Linked DNA regions of Macaca fascicularis. The protein of the gene in region 3 purifies or fractionates together with the protein of the main gene of each other region. This does not show direct contact. Links are inferred from orthologs where the notes say so. Each region holds a gene or a part of one and is shown on either strand. Other genes may lie near its edges.

Evidence for each region.
Region 1: the proteins of PPP2R2A (region 3) and CDCA4 purify together in Homo sapiens (affinity purification with mass spectrometry; 4 studies listed by BioGRID and IntAct, with this or other methods). This does not show direct contact. The link is inferred for Macaca fascicularis from reciprocal best matches to the Homo sapiens genes PPP2R2A and CDCA4.
Region 2: the proteins of PPP2R2A (region 3) and PPME1 purify together in Homo sapiens (affinity purification with mass spectrometry; 3 studies listed by BioGRID and IntAct, with this or other methods). This does not show direct contact. The link is inferred for Macaca fascicularis from reciprocal best matches to the Homo sapiens genes PPP2R2A and PPME1.

Annotation. Positions count from the first base shown.
Region 1 is NC_088381.1:173,204,189-173,209,012, forward strand, and holds the start of CDCA4 (cell division cycle-associated protein 4), read right to left. Parts: upstream 2,889-4,824; 5' UTR 2,309-2,888; coding exon 2,027-2,308; intron 1-2,026. UniProt on the Homo sapiens protein: May participate in the regulation of cell proliferation through the E2F/RB pathway. May be involved in molecular regulation of hematopoietic stem cells and progenitor cell lineage commitment and differentiation.
Region 2 is NC_088388.1:73,042,939-73,047,506, reverse strand, and holds the start of PPME1 (protein phosphatase methylesterase 1), read right to left. Parts: upstream 2,889-4,568; 5' UTR 2,720-2,888; coding exon 2,619-2,719; intron 1-2,618. Other genes in the region: C2CD3 (C2 domain-containing protein 3), read left to right, coding at 3,348-3,402. UniProt on the Homo sapiens protein: Demethylates proteins that have been reversibly carboxymethylated. Demethylates PPP2CB (in vitro) and PPP2CA. Binding to PPP2CA displaces the manganese ion and inactivates the enzyme.
Region 3 is NC_088382.1:29,477,695-29,482,287, reverse strand, and holds the start of PPP2R2A (serine/threonine-protein phosphatase 2A 55 kDa regulatory subunit B alpha isoform), read right to left. Parts: upstream 3,070-4,593; 5' UTR 2,759-3,069; coding exon 2,752-2,758; intron 905-2,751; coding exon 830-904; intron 1-829. UniProt on the Homo sapiens protein: Substrate-recognition subunit of protein phosphatase 2A (PP2A) that plays a key role in cell cycle by controlling mitosis entry and exit. Involved in chromosome clustering during late mitosis by mediating dephosphorylation of MKI67.

The DNA.
Region 1 (4,824 bases), on a different chromosome or scaffold from region 3:
AGAGAATCTCCATCATCCTCCACTGCATCTCATCCCATCCACAGATCCCATTCTGGTACCATGAGAATATTCCTGTTCAGTCACTTCAAATCATTGCTGTCCAATGTTCCAAATCTCCAGCAGCTAATTCTGTGTTGTACCCAATATTTTAAAATGCTAACAAGTTTATTACTATTAATACAAAAAGGAGTAAAGCTCACAGGTGTTTTTTACAGTCGCGTGACCCCTAAGAGCTGTCACCCACAACGTGCGTTCAGGGGTGAAGAGGATAAGGTTGGGCCCGGAGAAGCTGGCCTGTGAGGATCACCCTGAATTGGGCCATATCTGTGTTTGGGACAAAGTCACCAAGAGCATCATCTTGACCAGCCCTGAGGGATGCCTGGGCTGGGCCCAGCTCCCTGAGGGCCTCCAGTGTGACTCTGGCCTGAGGCTGCTTAACTCCTTCTAATATGGAAGGAAGGGCCCTATACCATACGGGCGGGGCTGTGGAGCCTAGCTCCCTGCTCAATTTTTTTTTTTTTTAAGAAGGAGTCTCATTCTGTCCCCCAGGCTGGAGTGCAGTGATGCAATCTCAGTTCACTGCAACCTCCACCTCCCAGGTTCAAGCGATTCTCCTGCCTCAGCCTCCTGAGTAGCTGGGACTACAGGCACGTGGCACCACACCTGGCTAATTTTTGTATTTTTTGCAGAGACGGGGTTTCACCATGTTGTCCAGGCTGATCTCCAACTCCTGACCTCAGGCAATCCGACCACCTCAGCCTCCCAAAGTGTTGGATTACAAGTGTGAGCCACCATGCCTGACCCCCTGCTCAGTTTTGAAGCTCCTTCTACACATCTAGGTAAATGCCTAAAATCCCACCAACTCCACAGGGTGTCAACGGGACAGCCAAGTCGTTCACCCCTCAGTCAACTCCCAGCACCGCCCTTAGGCTTCTAAACCAAGCATCAACCAGAAAGAGAAAAACCAAGAGGGTCAGACAGACTGAAGATATGTCTGACATGGCAGGTGGGACAGCCTACAGGCCACTAGGGACAGAGTAAACTAAGCCCACGGAGGCAGAGGCCAGCAGAGAGCAGCCCCGCAGTGCTACTCAGGCAAGCAGAGTACAGCTGAGGGACCGGCCCTTCACTACAGCAGCAGCCGCCACACCTTCGTGGCTGAGCAATCCCATGAGGCTGGCTGAAAATGCAGATTCCCAGATTCTGACCAATAGGGCTGGGACTGCTGGGGACAGACTCAACTCTGACCTAACCTGTCACCTTCACAGCTGGACTTGCAGCCACTTCGAAGTTTCGGGTTAAGCAAATTATCAACAATTTCCATTTCTCACACATCAGATAAGCTTTGAAATACTCTATCGGAAAAACAGGAAGAAGAGGAGCAAGGTCTTCAGTCTTGAGATCTACTGAGTGGGAGCTCCACCTTCCACTACAGTCTGCTGGAGGCTGTTCCTGAACAATTACTGATACGTTAATTTCAGGGGTTATTTTTGTTTTGTTTTGTTTTTGAGACGGAGTCTTGCTCTGTCGTCCAGGCTGGAGAACCTCCGCCTTCCGGGTTCAAGTGATTCTTCTGCCTCAGCCTCCCGTGTAGCTAGGATTACGATTACAGGCATGCGCCATCACGCCCAGCTAATTTTTGTATTTTTAGTAGAGACGGGGTTTCACCATGTTGGCCAGCTGGTCTCGAACTGGGGACCTCAGGTGATCCACCCGCCTAGGCCTCCTCCCAAAGTGCTGGTAAGTGTGAGCTACCGCGCCCAGCTAATTTCAGGTACTTTTGTTACTTGGAACGATACACCTTCCTTTCCCTGAAAACATGTTCCAATGGCAAGTTGAGGGAAACTTCCTGGCCCCTTTTCTAAGATAAAGCCTACCACTCTTCCTAGAAAAAGGGTGTAACTCACTTTGTGTTGATTTCCACCCTAATTATAAAACATGGTGACACTTGAAAATAGAGTGGTTGTACGTAGAAAGTTTATAAAACCTAAGTTTTGGGAACAGGCGATGTTTTTCTGTGGCTCACTTTGAGAGAACGGTTATCTGGGTCCTGCCGTCTCGTGAGTCCCACACGAAGGCCACAGGAGAGGCGAGGCAGCGGAGACCCTCTATTCCAGCAAGCTGTACGAGCCTTTGTCACGACGATCCTGTTTACTGGACGAGAAGCGTTTGAAAACGCGCAGGGAAGCTTGCCTCTGACTTCTGCAAATGTCTCGGGGACTCTTCCTAATCCCACCTCGGAACGCCGGAGGAGCCCAGGAAAGACGGCGCTGGCCGACCCGCCCGGGGTCTGGGCCTCCTCCCACATCCTCGGCCCTCTCCGCGGCCGGGATCCAATTGAGGGGGCTGCAGCGCGCCCTGGCCCGGTTAGTGAGGTCGGCCCGGGACAGGGCGGGGGCGGCCGTGGCGGGGCGCGCCCGGCGTTCCCTCCGCGGCAACTAGAGCCGAGGTACAGGAAACGCCGCTGCGTACCCCAGCCGGGCCCTCGCGAAGTCGCTCCCGTGTGGGGCCGCCCGGAGGCCTCGACGAAGCCCCAGCTCCGCAATCCGCATGGAACGCAGACGGCGGCCCGGGCCCCTCTGGTTCCCCGGGCCCCCTCAGCAGCGGCCACCCCGCGGTGGAACCAGCGCCCAGGAGGGCGGCGAGGGCGCCCGCGGCAGCCCCAGCGGGAACCCTGAGCGCCGCCTCCGCCCCGGACCCAAGCCAGCGCCAGGAGCCACAGACTCCGCGCACCGCCCCCGGGCTCCTCCGCGCCCGGCAGCACAAACGCGCGCGCCGCCGTAGACGCCCTCGCGGTCAGCCAGACCCGCTCACCTGACCCGCGAGGCCGCCCGCCGGCTCCTCTGCTCAGCCGCCGCCACCGCCGCCGCCACCAGCTTCCCGCCGCTGAGGGAGGAGCGCCCGCCGGCGCGGGGCGGGGCGTGCGACCGCCACTCAGCGTCCACAAAGGGTCGACGCTGCGCCCTCCGCGCGCCGTGCCCACTGATTGGCCACCCACGGACCGGGGGCGGGGCCTCTTGTTCAAACCCGCGCGGGCGGGGCATCTGCGGCGCGTGTTCCCGCGCTGCGGCGACGGCCGTTGGGGCTCGCGCGCGCCCTCGGTCGCCCCGCCCCCGCCTCCGCCTCCGCGCCGGGCCCCGCGACGCCCACGCCGCGCCGGCTCCCAGGTCTCCCCGCGCCCAATCCGGCCCCGCCCAGCCCCGCCGGCTCGCAGGTCTCCGCACGTCTGGTCCTAAACTGAATGCGCCTGCGCTGGGGGCCCACGTGGTGCCCTCGGGAGGGCGTGGCGGGGCAGCCTGGTAGGGGCTGATCCTCTCTCGCTTCTGCCTAGGTTAACTTCTCTGCCGAGGGATCCGTGCCGGGGTGGGGAGGAGCCGGGAACGGCAGTTCCCGGGCGGCCTGGGCTCCGAAGTCTATCCCAGCCTCTCCAGAAACCGCGGTTATCTCTAGAGGCTTCCCAGGTTTACACGTAAGAAATGTAACGTGAAAGTAGAAAGCAGGGAAACACGTGTTTTAAATCTCTTAGTGGAAAAGGTTTTAAATAGGATACAAGAGTCTAATATTCTTTGAACGCCTGCAGCAGGCCCGGCAGGCGTGGCTGCAGCTGAGAACCCTGTGCTGGTGGTGGGGGAATCCTCAGCTGAATCCGCAGATGCGGATGCGCCAAGGTCAGTGGTTAATGCTGAAATGCTGTCGGAAAAAGCTGGGAGTGACGTTGGGGCGCTGCTCACATAGGTCTCTAGGATAAGAGGCGTCTTAAAGCACCAAAAGGAAGAGTGGAAGAGTATTCCAGGAGAGGAATGGCTAGGACAAAGCCCGAGGCAGGGGCAGGAAGAAGTCTCAGTGCAGTGAAAAAGAACCCTGTGATCTCGTGGGAAAGTTTAAATGTGAGAGGTGGAGTGATTTTGAGGCTGTTCTCTGAGTGGGATGGAGACTACTGGGACGGTCAGCAGAGAAGGAACTGGGATCTGAATTATGCTTGAAAAGAATCACTGTTCTTATTTAAAAAAAAAACAAAACGGGTTTATTTCGCCCATGCTGGAGGACAGTGGCGTGATAATGGCTCACTGTATCCTCGAACTCTTGTGCTCAAGTGATCCTCACGCCTCAGCTTCCCACGTAGCTGGGACTACAGAAGTGTGTGCCACCACACCAAGCTAACCTTTTTTTTTTTTTTTTTTTTTTTTGGTAATTTTGTAGAGACAGAGTATTGCCTTGTTACACAGGCTGGGCTCCAACTCCTGGCTCCAACTACCTTGGCCTCCCCAAGTTCTGGGATTACAGGCATGAGTCACTACAACCACCAAGAATCACTGTTGGTAGAAGATTTGGAGGAGGCGGCAGGAAGGCTGGAAGTAGAAAATCCTATTAGGTTATTTTCCAGGTAAAAGAAAATGGGACTTGACAAAGGTGACTACCTGAGACTTTAAAGTTTATGCATATCAAAGTGAAAAGACTAATGGGGAAAAAAGGTTTTCCTGGCTGTATCGCACATAAAGGTTAAATTCCTTAATATACAGATATTCTGCAAATGAAATCTAGATCACCAAAGAAAAGTGGTTTGGACATGGTGGCATCCACCTGTAATCCCAGCTACTCAGGAGGCTGGGGTGAGAGAATCCCTTGAACCCGGGAGTTGGAGGCTGCAGTGACCTATGATTGCACCACTGCACTCCAGCCTGGGCAGACAAGAGCAGTGGAAATTAAAGCTGTGCTGGAGTGCCGTTTGCCGCAGGTCAAATTGGCAAAGATCTAAAAATAATGTCTGGAGTAAGATAATATCTTCCAGAGCATATTAGTCTATTCTCAGGCTGCTAACAAAGA
Region 2 (4,568 bases), on a different chromosome or scaffold from region 3:
TTGAGTCTCAGTTCCCTCATTTATTAATACATTCCCTTACAGAATACAGAACTCTCTGAATATTCAGTTCCTCAACTACATGATGAAGTGGTGAAATGATCCATGTCTATGCTCTCTTTCAGCTTTATGATTCTAAGGAGAAAGAGAATCTGCATTATTACTACCATGAGACTTAGATGAAGCCTGCTTATGTACCAATAAAGTAGAAAAGAAAAATACGGGAAAATAAGCCATTTGAGGACCACACAAATATTCACCAATACTACCATATTTTTGTGAATTTTCTTCACAATACTACCATACAGAAAGGCCTTTCTAAAGAACTTTCTTTTCCAGGATAAGCAGTTACCCTAAACCAAGAAGACCAAAGCATCTATTTAAAAAGGTAAGTTGTCCAGGCATGGTAGCTCAATCCTATAATCCCAGTACTTTGGGAAGCCAAGTGGGGCAAATCACTTGAGGCCAGGAGTTCAAGACCAGCCTGGCCAACATGGTGAAATCCCATCTCTACTAAAAATACAAAAATTAGCCGGGCATGGTGGTGCACGCCGGTAATCCCAGCTACTTGGGAGGCTGAGGCACATGAATCACTTGAACCCAGGAGGTAGAAGTTGCAGTGAGCCAAGATTGTGCCACTGCACTCCAGCCTGGGCAACACAGCGAGACCCTGTCTCTAAAAAAAATAAAATGAAAAGTAATACAAAATAAAAACGATGAATTACTAACAATTATACAATCTTCTAATCAGCAGATTTTCCTTTTATTTTCTCTCAGTATTTTCACCCAGTTCTTCAATCTTCAGAGAACTTGTTTTGACAAAATGAGAAGCTGAGCCCTAATTAAACTTATCTAAAGAATGTATAATTATTAAAAATCTGATTTTCTTATGTATTTGTATAGAAGAGTGCTGGTATACTGAAAGATCAAATTGTAGTTTAAGAAAGGCAGCAATGAAGATATATAACAATTAATGTTACATTAATATTAAACTCCAGGTTAATTTTCCCAAATAATGTTATGGGTCAGTTTCCAAATTCTCTTTATTCATGTTATAGTCCAACTTTTCGATCTTCCAAAGTCAAAATAATCTTCACTTTACCTTCTATGTAGCCTTCTACCTCCTCTATTGTGCGTCCATCTCTCTATCTCCCCCTGCTAAGGTTTTCTCCTTTTTCTACTGTATATCACAGCAGGTCTCCACTTCAATTCTTAGTTTCCTTCCCTGGTTTTTCCACTTGTTCTTCCCATTCCTTTACCCCACTGTTTTATAGGATTCTCCTTTCTTTTCATCCCTAGGACTTACTGTCACAGTACTGCATCTCCTATTCTCGCTTCTTTTGGTAAGTTTTTACACACATTACTTCTTCAGAACCTAAGGTTTCTCTTCTGTAGTCCTTTTTCAAAGAATATTTATCAATTCATCTCTAGAATCCCAAATATACTCTTGAGTCCTCATACCTAAGTATCCTTCCTACTCCTTTTCTCTTTACAGTCACTAATTCCCAGAATCCTGTCTGAAACTACAAATATCCCCTCAAAACCAAATGCCTATTCAATTGTCTCCACTTTCCAGCAATTATCCCATGTTCACCTCATTCTTTGTCCTCGGCCCAAGTATCCCCTAACCTGGCACAAGCCATTTAATGATCTAAAATTCCAAAGCCTATCTCTTCAACATGGCTCTCCTCTCTTTCCAGCAAACTGTTTCCCTAACTCCCAATGCTTCACTAATTCAAAGTCTTAGGCCAGTACATTGCTTCCCTCAGATCTATTAGCCCCGCAAAAACTGATTGCCCAAATCTTCCTCTAAGCTTCCCAGACCTTACAACTGCAGCACTTCCATTCACCAAACCGCATTTATAGTTATTTCTCAATCTTTAGAGCCTATGGTCACTTTGCAAATTCTTCAGTCCTCTCCTTCTTCTCTCTCCCTTATCCTGTCCAGCTTCTCAGCACATTCCTATTACCCTTAACAATCTTCATGGCTATATTCTCCACCTTACCTTAGGCCTACTCCCCAAACTTTCTCATTCTCCCTTAAGAGGCCTAATCTCACCTCTCATTCCCTGACTGTCTTTAGACCTCTGGGAATTATCTAGAATCGTCTGCTTCCTAGTGCTCCTCTTTCGTTCTCCAACCCTGTCCAACTCCCTAAGCTTTTCTACTATCTAGTTCTCACAGTATACATATTAGAACTTTTACAATATCCACTCCTCCCAAACCTTTTCTTAGTTGTTGCCTCAATTCCCCTCAACTTTTCTCTCGGTCATTCCCCATTTCCCTCCACCTTCCCTGGCCGATTTTCCTCCACCTTTGTCACCTTTTTCTAAACCTCCTTCATTCTGGAGGTGATTCTCAGTTATGTTAGTCTCTCAGCTTCCCCAACCTTTGCCTCATTCCCCTCTCCCTCCAACAACATTATTTTTCCTCCAGTTTCTATTGACTTGGCGCCTCCCCTAGTTCCCCAATCTGCCTTCTACTCCATCTAAATATCTCCAGGCCGCCGCCAACATTTTCTCCTATCGGTAGACTCCTTCCCCGTGCCTCTCTGAACGCTCAGAGCCACCATTCTCCAATGGCCGGGGCCTGGCCCCTAGGTAGGAGTATGGGTCACGTACCCCATTCGCATCTTGGCTCCGCTCTGACTGCCCCCACTGCCGGGTAGAGGTGGGCGAGAGGGAAGGCGGCCGAGGTGCATGCTCTTTTCGAGGGCCGACATCAAGGAAAGGCTGCACGCACGTAGTCAAACAGTAGGCGAACCTTCGTCCCACGTTGAGTGTGGCCCAACCGGTCACGACTCGCTCCCCTAACGACGCCCAGTCGCCTTTGGACAGCACCCAGCTACCGGTAGCACCGCCTACCGCCCACCGGCTCTGCAAACTCCACCCACTCGCTTCAGCACTTCCACCGGAAGTGCGCAACAGCCCTCACACAAAGGAAGCTGGGTAACAGAGTCTGCGAACTCCGCAGACTCCCAACTGGAAACCCGACAACTTTCACCGGAAAGAGGAGCCGTCTTCAGGGCAATGCACCCTGGGCAATGGAGTCCTCAACGGGCGTATCCGTATGCGCTTGCGCAGCCGGAGGCGCCCCCAGCCAACCCCGCAGAGGTATTGTAGCAAAGCATCCTGGGTATTGTAGTCTATTGGCGGGAAGGCGTCTTGGCGCCTTCTCTTCCCACTGTTTTCCGGAGACTGTTAGAGGAAGAGTGGCTTTTTCCTGCCTCCCAGGCTGCCCAGCGGCGCCGGTTGCCGGGGAACGCAGGCGCCGTGGGGAGGGATGGCGGGAGGCGGCTGCTTAGGTGGTGGAGACAGAGTTGTGCTGATGAAGAAGAGCTCGGGCTCATCATGAAGCAACGTAAAGGCCAAGGGCCTGGGGGCAGCCGTGGGCGCAAAAAAAGAGGTAACCCGAGCGATCAAAGATTGAGGAAAGCGTTAACAGGGGAGCAGGGTGTAAGGAATTTTAGGGAGACCCCCACCCCCGCTGGATAAACAAGAAAAGGGACGTAAGAAGGGAAATAGCCAGGGGACCAGAAGGTTAAAAGGAAGGGCAATTGGCCCTCCAGAGAATAGAAAGGAATTAGGGGCTGGGGTAGGGGCCACAAAGTGGTGATTAATGAGATGAAGGTTACCGGTGGGATGACTGTAGAGGAGAAGAGCAAACAATAATAGGATTGGTTTTGATAACGAAGTGAAATGTATGTGTGCGAGTAGCTTTAGAGGTCCGCAGGGACAGGAAGAAACATAAATTGGCAAAGGGATGATATCATTTCTTGTGTGATTGTGGACAAGAATCACGTTTTATACATTACTGAATGACCAAGGATTAGTACAAAGCAGGACTCGGTAAATGTTTGTTGAATGAATGAAGCATGAAGGACTGGCTATGAGCAGGAGTTGGGGAAAAAATAATTGTAGAGTATAGAGCGGGGAAGAGTGGGGAATGACAAGTGTGATAGGATTGAAGTGGGGGTAAGGGCATGAGGTTCTCCTGAAGGACCTGAGATCGTGAAAGAGTGTACAGCAGAGAGTCCTTATCAGGTTAACACCTCGAGGAGACACAGGCTCACCGAGTAGGGGATGTTAGCTGCAGTGAGAACAGTCAAACTGGGGACCGAGGGCAGATCAGGAAACTGGATATTGAATCTCTACAAGACTGCCTCGAAGGGAAAAAGGACAGTGGGTGAACCTGCCTTTTTGCATCGTAGGCAGTTTAGTGAGAAAAGAAGTATTGGTTTGGAGCAGTGATAGGACATTAGGCCATTAGGTTGAGGACTGAAGCTACAATCTGGGAATTACTCTTATCCAAGCTGTTTAAAGATTACTAAGGCAGTTTTGAGGTAGTGACTTTCCTGCCACGAAAGATAGGAGGATCTGAGACTGAAGCATACTAGTGCTCCCTGTGTCAAACCAGTTAAGCATGTTTGGTTGATAAGCGGAAAGTCAAAGTAGAAATAGTATAGTATAGAACAGAATATACTTTTTTTGCTATACCATTTCCATAGTAGAAATATATACACAATCGTGTATAATTTTTATGTTGAAACTATCCGTAAGGATTATGGTGGG
Region 3 (4,593 bases):
CCTACTGTAATTCAAGACACACAATACCATTAAAAAACGTCAACATTTCTGAGGAATGAAACAATGCAACAACTTTGTGGGAAATGCCTCTGCTGCCTAAGACCATCTCAAATGAATGCAAAACCTTGAAGTTCCAAAACTTAAACTTCTGAAACACATTAGTAAACAAATATGGGGAGAAAATTAGACGTTAAGCACTTCAACTGATCAAACACAGTTTCTACCTGCACAAGAATAACGCTTCCTAGAAGACAAGCAATATATGCATAGCATTGTTACTGTCTTATCCACCTAAATACTAGAAAGACAACAAAACGAATAACCTGAGCTATCATTTCTTCACAGAATATGCCAATCAGCATCACACTCCCAAAGTGGACAAATTCAAAAGTAGTTAAAAATCTTCCCATAAAAATCAAAGACGCTGTTAAGAATGTTTCTGAACCAAATGCTGATGGCACCTATTTCAATTTACTTATCTAAAACAATGTACAAACATAAAAACGCATCGCCATTTATTTGTATGTGGAATTTACATAACAAAGAAACCCTTAAATGCAGCTCACAGCTTTCACGTGAGGATTTTGTATGTCTCATCACCTTTCATATAAATTCAGAGGAAAAAATAATAAAAACAAGGCATAAATAAATGAAATTTAAGGCTGTTTCTCAGAAAGGTAACTTTTAAAACTGTTCTTACATTTCTTGGACAATAAACACAAAATCATCTTGAATTTATAGTAGTTTCGGCTTCAAGGAAATCCCTCAGTAGGAAACATTTCTGAAAAAATTACATATCCAAAATTTGCATTATTAAACGCTTTCTTACCTTCTGCTACATCATCATCTACTGCTCCTTTCACCTGAGAAAAACACCACTGAATATCATTCCCTCCTCCAGCTCCTGGAAAAATAAAACATACCAATTAAAACCGAGTTCTGCTTATGTTGACTCTCGTAAACACAGAGATGGTATCCATGGTTGGCATGATACTAACAGCCTAGTTCTGCCCACACATACAACTACCACCAAGAGTACCAGTTTGGAAAAAGATGAGACCCCAATAGTTGGTACTGTACTAAAAAGAAAAAAACAAACATTCCAGGTATGAAATTATTTAAAGGCACATGATCTACGGTCATTATACATCTGTTCACAAACCTCCTCTCAAATACAGTAAAAGCCTTACATTCAGGCAAGACCTACCAGAAAAAAAGTAAATACCAAGAGTTAAAGAGTTTTCTTTTTAAGTGTACAAAAAGCCTGCAGAAGAATTAATAAGGTTAACTACCATGAAACATAGAACGAAGAGAAAACTTCGGGAACATTACTGCCTGGGTAAGAAGTAATGATTCATATGAACCCTATCACCAAAGTGCACACACAGCAAACACTACACCCATTTCTTTGCATTCATTACCAGCAAATCACTGGCTCCAGACAGAGAGGAAAAGAAACCGAAATGAATGCTGCTAAAGAGACTGTCAAAGGAAGCTTGTTCTGCCTCCCTTCACCTCATCTCTCGACTCCAAAGGACCTGGCAAAGAATTCATTTCGCTAACATGTCATCTCGTGCAAAACAATTTTAATCTCATTTCATTATTCAACAAGGCCAACAAGCAACTTATTTATAGCAAACAAGTCAATCCGACACGTTAACTTTTTCAAAAGGTTTAATTATCTAAATAATGAATATAATAGCACGGAAAACTGGTCTCATCGCGGAATGTTTCTATTTCACGTGCAAGTACTGAGGTCGAAATCGTGAAAATGTCCTGGGGCTCTAGGGAGAAAGAAACTGAATCTAAATCCGGAATTGATTCTACTACATGAAGGAAAAGATTTAGCAACACCAACATGTACAAAAAGAATTCTCAAAGCAATTACATTACTTCTCTCTCCCCTATCACCCCTATTCCTTGCTAAATTTATTCCTAAACTGATTTTCTCTCTACATCCTTTCCCCTCCCTTTCAAAGCTTCTACCTAAATCTCTCTCCTCCTAGCTATTTATATCTCTGAACTCCGCAACTATTTTAACTAACTCTACCAAACCCTTTTGGGAAAAGGACATCTGCAAAAAAGCTAACATACTAAACGGAAAGTTTAAATTATTTTCATGCAACTTGCTGTACATGAAAGGCCTTGCACTCTTCGGCGGTAAGAGGGAAGAAACGGAAACGAAATGGTTCGAAACAAAAAATTTAGGCTTCCAGTCTCAAAAATACTGGCATCCACAGTGGGGGGAAAAATACACATATGCCCCCATTGTATTTTAACTTGTAAAGCGCTCTTCCTTCTCGGTGCAAAATAAATGTGTATATACACCCAAGAAGACTTGCAGCAGGGGAAAAAATACAAATTAAATGAAGACCTGCAGGAAAAAAAAAAAAAGGCGAGGGGCGAGGTGGGGAGGTGGGAGAGGATCCACCAGGCTCCCGAGCGGGAGGGACAAATCTGCACGCGCCCCCACCCCGCCCCACCCACGCCTCACCCCAAGCTCGCCGGCACACCCCACCCCCACCACCGCCACGGCGCCAGCCCCGTTCTCCAAGCCCAGTGACTCTCACTGTGACCACTTGCCTCCTGGGAGCCCTCCCCGCCCCCACCCCACCCCTCTGGACCCTACTCCCTCAAACCCGAGGGGCGTCCTATGGCTCCGCGCGAGGCGCGGGCGGTCGCTAGGGGGTGATGGAGGGAAAAAGGAGGAAGCGGTGCCTTGTCAGGGGGCGAGGGGGATTTCTCCTTTACCTGCCATGTTGCGCTGCAAATGGTGACCCTGCTGGGTTCCTCGGGGTCTCCGCTTCCTGAACTCACCCCCCTCACCTGGGGATGGGGGGGTAGAGAGGGCGGATGGCGGCGGATGGCACCTGCGGGGGGAGGGGACGGGGGCCGGGGGAAAAGGAAGGAGGGGCGGGCAGACCAGCCGGCAGGATGCTAGATTTCACTCTGGGGCTTCCCCGCTCGTGCTCTTTCTCCGGCAGCGGCAGCGGCGGCTACGACAGCGACGGCGGCGGCGGCAGCGGCAGGGGTAGGCGACTCCACTTTCAAAATGGCGCCGGCTGGCCTGGCCAGTGACGTCACGCAGAGGGCGGAGCTGCCAGGCTGGGGCGGAGAGCAGAGGGGGAGGGGCGGGGGAGCGGCCGGGCCTGCTCCTGGCCACGCCCCCTTCCTGCTGCGCTCGTGCCCCGCCCTCCGCGTCCGGACCGGCGGGGCCTGCGCCGCTCCCGCGTCTGTCCACGGCACCCCATCTGCCCGCTCCGCCTGCGCCAGGCCGCGGCTGTATGCACCTGGCAGTGTCCCAGCCTCTCGCACTAGCGCGGGAGCTCTGGGGCGGGCTCAGCAGTCCAGTTTACGTCCTCGCCTGCAGGGATTCGTGGGGTCCTACGTCTTTTAGGAATACCAGGGCCGGGGACCGTGGGTCACGCCTGTAATCCCAGCACTTTGGAAGGCTGAGGCGGGCGGATCACAAGGTCAGGAGTTCGAGACCAGCCTGGCCAACATGGTGACTCCCCATCTCTACTAAAAAAACATACAAAAATTAGCCAGGTGTGGTGGTGTGCGCCTGTAATCCCAGCCACGAGGGAGGCTGAGGTGTGAGAATTGCTTGAACCCGGGAGGCAGAGGTCGCAGTAAGCCGAGATCGCGCCACTGCACTCCAGCCTGGGCAACAGAGCAAGACTCCGCGTCAAAAAAAAAAAATACTCGCACTACTACTTAGGAAAGTAAGTAAAAAGGAAGAGTAAGTAAAAAGGGCTGTCACTTTGGGTCAGCCCTGAGGCCGCAAAGAAAGGGAGAGCGGTGCAGACTTACTGCTCAGCCGGGGTGAAAGTTCACGGTGTTCAGAGGGACACCATTGGGCTGGTTCCATCTAGGTAAGTTAAGTCACCTTCGCGTGGGCCCCAGGAACCAAGGCAGGAGTCCTGGGCACTGCAGGCACTAAGGGTGGTTTGTAAGAGAAACCTGAGTTTGTGATGAGAAGGGTATGGCCCAAGAAGTGACTTGGCGTCTCTCCAGCTAAACGTGGTGTACTGCGTGCTTAAGAGCTGGGCGTTTAAGAGCAGTGGCTCACGTCTGCAGTCCCAGCAGTTTGGGAAGCCGGGGTGGGAGGATCGCTTGAGGCCAGGAGTTCCGAGTTAAGCCTAGAGAACATAGGGAGACCCATCTCTACAAAAAAAAAAGTTTTTTTAAATTAGCCAGGTATGATGGCGTGCCTATAGTGCTACTAGGAGGCTGCAGCTGGAGGATTGCTTGAGCCCAGTAGGTCAAGGCTGCAGTGGGCTGTGTGATCACACCACTGCACTCCAGCTTGGGAGACAGAATGCGATCCTGTCCAAACAAAAACAAAAACACAAAAAGTGCTGGACTCTGAAGCCAGGCTGCCTAATGTGATTCCAAAGCTCAGGAGATGAAGATGACAGTCCTACCTGATAGGATTGTTGGGGAGATGAAATGACTTAATTTGAGCACATGATAAATGTTAGCTGCCGTTGTTATTAGATTTGTATTGAAAGCATCGTCAGTAAGGTTAAGAGGTAGAAGGAAAAAAATGAACAGGAAATGCCAGTCATCAGCTATGAGGGGATGTGCACT